Linked DNA regions of Canis lupus familiaris. The protein of the gene in region 2 purifies or fractionates together with the protein of the main gene of each other region. This does not show direct contact. Links are inferred from orthologs where the notes say so. Each region holds a gene or a part of one and is shown on either strand. Other genes may lie near its edges.

Evidence for each region.
Region 1: the proteins of SLC9A6 (region 2) and MBLAC2 purify together in Homo sapiens (co-immunoprecipitation; 3 studies listed by BioGRID and IntAct, counting the BioPlex papers as one, with this or other methods). This does not show direct contact. The link is inferred for Canis lupus familiaris from reciprocal best matches to the Homo sapiens genes SLC9A6 and MBLAC2.

The regions. Positions count from the first base shown.
Region 1 is NC_049224.1:18,615,750-18,619,578, reverse strand, and holds part of MBLAC2 (metallo-beta-lactamase domain-containing protein 2), read right to left. Parts: intron 3,044-3,829; coding exon 2,658-3,043; 3' UTR 1-2,657. UniProt on the Homo sapiens protein: Acyl-CoA thioesterases are a group of enzymes that catalyze the hydrolysis of acyl-CoAs to the free fatty acid and coenzyme A (CoASH), providing the potential to regulate intracellular levels of acyl-CoAs, free fatty acids and CoASH.
Region 2 is NC_049260.1:107,361,822-107,365,650, reverse strand, and holds part of SLC9A6 (sodium/hydrogen exchanger 6), read right to left. Parts: intron 599-3,829; coding exon 399-598; intron 1-398. UniProt on the Homo sapiens protein: Endosomal Na(+), K(+)/H(+) antiporter. Mediates the electroneutral exchange of endosomal luminal H(+) for a cytosolic Na(+) or K(+).

The DNA.
Region 1 (3,829 bases), on a different chromosome or scaffold from region 2:
CAATATAAATAAAAATTATTTCTAAATGTCTTACATTTTGACAACTTTGAATTATACTTACATACTCTTAGTTCCAAAACCATAAATTATAACACGGGTCACTGTCAGGGTGAAAATATATTTTTTTAAAGCTTCTTTTAAAATATGCTATTATTATGCTTAACATCACTTGATTTATTCTTGGCACATGTGGCATCTGGAAAAGTAAAAATACACTTTGCCAATTTTATGTTATTGTGCAGGTACAAGAGAAAGAGCACAGTTTGGGAGGCAGATAGACCTGTGTTCAATTACCAGCTTTGTTCAAAGTTATGTTGTGTGAGGCTGGTCAATTACTTCTTGGCACGGGGCCAGGATTAAACCAAATAATGCATATTTTAAAATGCATAGCATGGGCACTAAATGAATGATAGATCCTTTCCCCAATCTATTCATACTGAAACAAAAGCAAAATATCAGTCTTATGTTTTTGTCCAACTTGAAAAACTGAAAAAAAATTGGAAATTTAAAAATAAAATTAACCATGTTTTGAAAAATTGTACTTTCAAGAAATAAAGCCTTCATCAGGCTTAAATATTTCTCAATAAAACTTAGTGCCTACTATACCCTGATTTTTTTAAAAGTCCTAAAGTATGATAAAATGGTCAATGGTTAAGGACTTTTGGTTTTCTTTTGTGCTACTGATATAAAAATAATGGCTATATTTAAGGCTCATTAAGTGATTGTAGTTGCCCTGAACCAAATCTATATTCTTGATGTTGAACTATCAATTGAAACAGACCTACTGCCTTGAATGAGAATGCTCATTTGGTGGCAGGTGGCAGTACAGCTTGACTCATATATACAATCACAAACCCACCTTTCTCATGCTAAATACTTGGTGTTTGGATGATCTAAGATTCCTGAAAATTAAATTTAAATTGTCACAAGGAATAGCCTACTTCAGACAGCAATGCTTTCCATCCCTGTTCTTGGCTCTTCTTGTCCCCTACCCTGACTACCCAACAAATCATCTTTCCAAATCTGACTAAAAAACCTCTCCCTCAGGAATCTTTTCTTCACCAAACTCCACATCCCTCCATTTATGTCCCTGAAACTATTCTGTAATTTGTATTAGCTTCAACCTGCATATAATATTAGTCATGTTTTGTTTGCTTTCTACTTCCAGCTAAGATGTAGTCTCTTTGACTTTTTAAACTTCCACAGTGTTTAGCACAATACTGTGCATGTATGTATTTATGTGACTGTGTATATGCATATGGTGTGTGTGTGTGTGTGTGTGTGTGTTGAATGAATAAAAGACTAAAGAACCTGGGTGGGTATAGGGTGGGAACATTTACTAATTTTTCAGAAATAAAAATTTCCTAAACCTTCTTAAGACTAAAAAATCTGGTTTCCAAAGCTATCTCAGTTTGGGTTTGAACATGTCAATAATAAAAAAGGCAGTGAAAAACCTGTTTAAAAAACCTTTATGAAATATTCCAAAAGGCTTTTTAATAAATTATAAAGAGCACCAAACTAAAATATTTTACTAAATAGTGGGTAACCTTTCTTATAACTTTATAAATGTAGACTTTTTATTCAAGACAAAGAATACTGAACAGGAATAGGTGTTGTGAATCAGGATAAAAAAGGCAATTAATCTAAGTCAATATCTAATGTGTATTTTGCAATTCATCTGAAAAGCCTTCTGTGGTACACATGTATGTTATGGTAAGTAAAAGAATGATTTATATCAGGATGTTGTAGATCTCTATAGTTTTCTGATACTATAAAATATGATACATATAGTGAAGCTGCTATTTAACAAGAAAAATTTTGTTTATAATAGCTGTTAATATTAAAATAGGATATAATAAAAAATTATTTTCAATGTGTATATTTTCAAATTTGCCTGACAGTGTCCTTTTGAGAAATCTGACAATTTGTAATTAGATTACAGACATTTGAATTTCATTTTTATGATCGAAAATATTACACTCACATAACAAACAACGCTATATAGTAGCTTTTTACTGAAGCACTCTGCAATTTATATTTAAAGCTTTGCAATAAAACAAAATTCATTGTACTCTGTAAGTAAAATTATACAACATATAATACACACCATAATTACATTAAGAATAAATAAATGAAGCATAAAAACTCTGTGCCATAACAATGGATTATTTTAGCTGTCATTCTAAATATTAATTTTTATGTTTGTATTGAGTCCTAATGTATTTTAAACTCAAGAACCTTTATCTTTAAAGAATATACTCAAAATACCAAGTTTGGAGTATAAACATAAAATTTTATGCCTCTTTCTCTAGGTCACGTAGGAAATAAAATAAGACAAATGGAAGGCAAGGACAGTTCTTTCTGTTACTGCAAAATGCCTCTTTGCTTTCACATAGATTTCTGTGTCATTTCTGGAATATTACAAGATGACAAATATTACAAGACGAGAGCTTGGCAAATTATAAAGCTTATTTAAGTGATTTCTTATTTGGAAGAAAGGAAAAAATTTAAACAAAGAACTTTTGGCTTACTCATTCTCAATCTTTTTTTCGCTAATAAAGCACTTCTTGAAATGCTCACTATTAATCATTTTAAACAGCACAAAATGAATTTGATTAATTTACAGAATTCATCACAATAGGTCATCAGTATAGATACTAGGGTGAGGTCCTAGAATTTGTTACACGTAAGGCTAAACTCGCAAGAGATCGCATGGCAAAAGTAGAAACTTTGTGACATATCCCAGCTTTTGAAATATAGTTAGAAGCCAATCGAAAAAGCCTTTCAGCACCAAAGGTATTGAAGTGCCCAGGAAGCACCTTCTCTACCAGACCTCTGTCCACTAATTCTATCAGACGTTCACAGGTTCCAACATAGTCACTTATCCTGCTGTACGGGAGCCAGTCAATCAGTGATCCATCATACACGACGTCTCCACTGAAGAGAATCTTTCGGTCTTTGTCATGTAAGCAAATACTGCCCCTGGAGTGACCAGGCATGTGCATAACAGTGAGCTGTCTGTCACCAAGGTTGATCACATCCCCTACAAATGGAAACAGATTTTACAGATAAACATGTTGTATACTTGCTTCAATCACTTAAAGAATAAAAGAACATTAGATGGTTTCAAAGAGGTTGTAGGGAAGGATGACACTTAATTTTATTTCAAAAATACAGTATTTCTTAATGATTTAAAAATAAGTTGCCCATATTTCATTTCTATTGTTTGCTTGACTAGTGTTTGTCAAGTGAGTTATGTGAAACACTATTTCTGCAGGTTGTTAGGATACATAAAAAAAGGGAAGATGCTGTAGTCAAAGAGTTTTGGAAACCTTTCCTTCAAGGAAAATGAAGCAGCTTCTTTTTTTCTGCAAGGCTTCTGACAACTTTTTAATATGCTAATCTACATTGTAGATATACAGAAGGGAGATATGATTGTACCATTTCTCAAACTTATTTGACCACAAAACTAATTTTTCAGTAAATCCATGGTACCAGTGTCCTGATGACACAATTCATGAATGCTGCTCTTTGAGGTATGAGTGCAAAATTGCTGTTTCACTGCATTTAAATCAGTACTAATTTAAGTAAATCATCATAATCTTAAAGTTCCATATGGTTATCTTTAGTGCAAATATATATACATGCAGAAAAAAAAATCAAAGACATATAGTTAAAAAGTTAATAGGGGGGATGCCTGGGTGGCTCAGTGGTTGAGCATCTGCCTTCGGCTTAGGGTGTAATCCCGGGGTCCGGGATCAAGTCCCACATTGGGCTCCTTGCGGGGAGCCTACTTCTCCCCTGCCTATATCTCTGCCTCTCTCTGTGT
Region 2 (3,829 bases):
ATAATAATATCCTAAGAAATATTAATGGAATATTTTAGGTATTATCAAATAAACTCAATGTGCTGAAGGACCATAAAACTCTAAGGACCATCTGCAAATTGAAAGAAATGCTTATAAATTCTGCTTAAGTCAATACTGATCACCATTTATTACAATCATAAATATCACTGAATGAAACAAAAAGGATTAGAGTACTTAGCCTCAATCAGAAAATGAAATGGACAGATGTCCATTCATTTCCTTAGCATTATATTACACTTGTTAATTGAGATTTTTCTCCATTTTAAAAGAATGATTTTAAACATCATTAAAATTAATTAATTCTTCTCCTGAATTGCTTTGCTGCTAGTTATACACTTAAAAAAAAATCCAAATGTTCCCTTTAACAAAGAACTTACCTTTCTAAGCATTTCATTATCTTGAACGTTATTGAGTTCGTGTGAACTAATCTCTCCTTTAAGCGTATATTCATAAAATTTTCCACTAACATTTACCAATAAGGTAGTTGGGCTTGACTGTACTTCACAGCTCAGGGTCACATTATTTACATCACTCGGAACGTGAATGCCATATCGAAGCACAAGGCCCACCAAAAGACCTGGAAATAATAAAAGAACCATATAAGCTCTTCTTTTGGACAAAGGCTACTTCTGTACCACACACATCCCTTTGGACTGATAACAGAAGAACTCTTAGCATAGTCCTCTGTGGTTCAGAACAAATTTCTAGACTGAATGCAGTTACATTTAAAAGTATTACTATATTTGCAAATCTAAGAGTTTAATATTCATATAATCCAGTGGGACAAGAGGGGAAAACATTCCCTAGGGTACAGCAAATGCAGCATCACTGCATTTCTAGATCAAGATATAAGTAAGTGATTAGGAATGTAACAAAATAAAAAATAACTTCAAATTATCTGTACATAAAATAAGGTATCCCAACATGACAGTGTAATCATGTTAGAAATGTGTTTACCACCTCCACCTCCATCCATCAGTTCATAAAACTTAAACACACAACACTTCTCAAGTTATTCCTCCAGCACCTGGCTGGCCAAATAATACACATTTAACAAATTGGAGCATCAATAATATTTGTAGATCAACTGAGTTCTTCTATCACTAAAAGGTCAGATTTTTATTTAAAAACATGTGTTTCAAAATCAAAACATGGAATAGAAGTCCTCCATCCAGCACTATGACATCAATATATTGCAAGAATTGTACTTGGATTTTTTTAAAGATTTTATTTATTTGTTCATGAGAGAGAGAGAGAGAGAGAGAGAGAGAGAGGCACAGAGACACAGGCAGAAGGAGAAGCAGGCTCCACGCAGGGAGCCTGATGTGGGACTTGATCTGGGAACTCCAGGATCGCGCTCTGAGCCAAAGGCAGACACCCAAATGCTTAGCCACCCGGGTGTCCCAAGAATTGTACTTGGATCATCATATTGATATTCAAATGTACACAATGTCCTAGGTACTAAAACCTACATTGATCTGTTTAATAATGGCTTTATTGAGATGTAACTCACATATCATAAAATTTACCCTTTTAAACCATACAGTTCAGTGGCTTTTACTATATTCACAAAGTCGTATATTGATCATCACAATCTAATTCCAAAACATTTTCATTGCTCCAAAAAGAAACCCCATACCTATTAGCAGTCATTTTCCACCTTACCCCCCAACTCCCAGCCCCTGGAAACCACTACTATCCTTACTTTCTATATAGATTTGCCAACTCTGGACATTTCATAGAAACAGAATCCTAGGGATGCCTGGGTGGCTCAGTGGTTGAGCATCTGCCTTTGGCTCAGGGTGTTGATCCCAGGGTCCTGGGATCAAGTCTCGCATCAGGCTCCCTGCAGGGAATTTGATTCTCTGTGTATGTCTCTGTCTCTTTCTCTGTATTTCTTATGAATAAATAAATTAAAAATCTAAAAAAAAGAAACAGAATCCAATATGTGAATTTTCATGTCTGGCGTTTTTCATTCAGCATCATGTTTTTAAGGTTTATCCATGTTGTAGCATGTATTAGAACTTCATTCCTTTTCGTAGCTAAATAATATTCCATGGTATGGATCTATCTCAACTGCAAATTGAACTCAAACTTCTGGAACTTTCCTTTACTCCAAGAGGTACAGCATGCCACTATCAGCTACACTTTACCTCCCTGTTTCCTTTCACACTAACTCGTCAGCCACTCCTTTAATGCATGTGGCTAGAGTACCATGCTGAATAGGCCCCCAGGGTTCTGAGATGAAAACAAGGTCCCTCCTTCATGTAGCTCTCAGTCTAGTTAGTGAAAACAGACTGAAAAAACAGTGACAGTATGATATATATGGAGACAAGGTGTTATAAAAATGGAAAAGAGGTACCTGGTGCCTAACCAAGCCAGAAGGAAGTGGGACAACAGGGAAGTCTTTCCAGAGGTGTCACATAAGCAAGGAAACAAAGTAAAAGAAATGGTTTTCCAGGTAGGAGGTACAGTAGTACACATCCAGTCATAGAAGAGTGAGAGAACACAGCCCATTCAGGGAATTGCACGTAATTTGGGATGGCTGGGTTACAAAGTGATGGAGTTGAGGTGTGCAAGATTGGCAGGAGCACTGTCATAAAAGACCTTGCGAGTTGGGGAAGGGAAGTTAGACTTTATCTCAAAAGCAAAAGGAAGCCATGGAAGGGTTATAAATAAACAGGGGCTTGACATAAGATTTCTATTTTAGAAAGACAAGTTGCTCTAGACCACAAAGGTTCGAAGAGTCCAGACAGAAGGCCACTGCAGTCTTTCAGGCACTGAGGGCTTTGGGCCTCATCCCAGAGAGCAGAGAAAGGCATGGAGAGATTTTTGGAAGGTATTAGTTTTTAGAAGAACTCAGTGACTGAGTATACCAGGAGGAAGGGAGATGGGGAGAAAGACTAAGGGAAGCCAAGGTGACTTGGCAATTGGGTGGGTAAGCTGGCCTAAGCAGCCAGATATGTAGCAGGGCCATTTGGGGAGAAAGGGAACAGGTTCATGGTGGAAATCTTACAGTTCTGTTTCGGACCTGTTGAGTGTGAAGTACTTGTGACACAGGCACAGTTGAGTGTATGGGATCTGAACCTCAAGGAAGTGTGGTGGGGTCTCAAGTGGAGATAGCTGAAGTCAGGTACCTCTGAGGTAACCTGCAGAGCAAATAAAATGCGAAGAGGACTATGGATATATGCCCAGAGTTTTACCCCAACATTTAATAGCCAACATAAAGGAGCTGGTGGGGAGGAGGAGCTGATGAAGGAATCAAAGGAGGACAAGTAGCAGGAGTAGGAAGAGAAGAGGAAGAAGTGATGAAAACTAGCCAATTCTGTGGTCAAGGATGACAGGTGTTAAGAAGTGTCCGTCAGGTTTGGGAACGAGGAGCTCATGGGTGACGTTGGTAAGGGCAGTTCCAGTGGAGCAGAGGGAGCAGAAGCCAGTCCAGAGTGAGAAATGATAAAATGCAAGGAGGGGAAAGGAGCTGGGAAGTGGGGAAGGCACAGAGATGGGGGATTCTTTGAGGCAACTTGCAGTCACACGATTTTTAAAGTGAGTGGCAATCAATAACTGCTAAACAGTAGGATGACCTCAACTTTTAAAAAAGTTTTTAACAGGGACATCAGCATGGCTCAGTGGTTTAGTCTCTGCCTTTGGCCCAGGGCGTGATCCTGGAGTCCCAGGATCGAGTCCCACATCAGGCTTCCTGCATGGAGCCTGCTTCTCCCTCTGCCTGTGTCTCTGCCTCTCTCTCTTTATGTCTTTCATTAATGAATAAATAAACTCTTTAAAAAAGTTTTTAACAAAGTTCCAG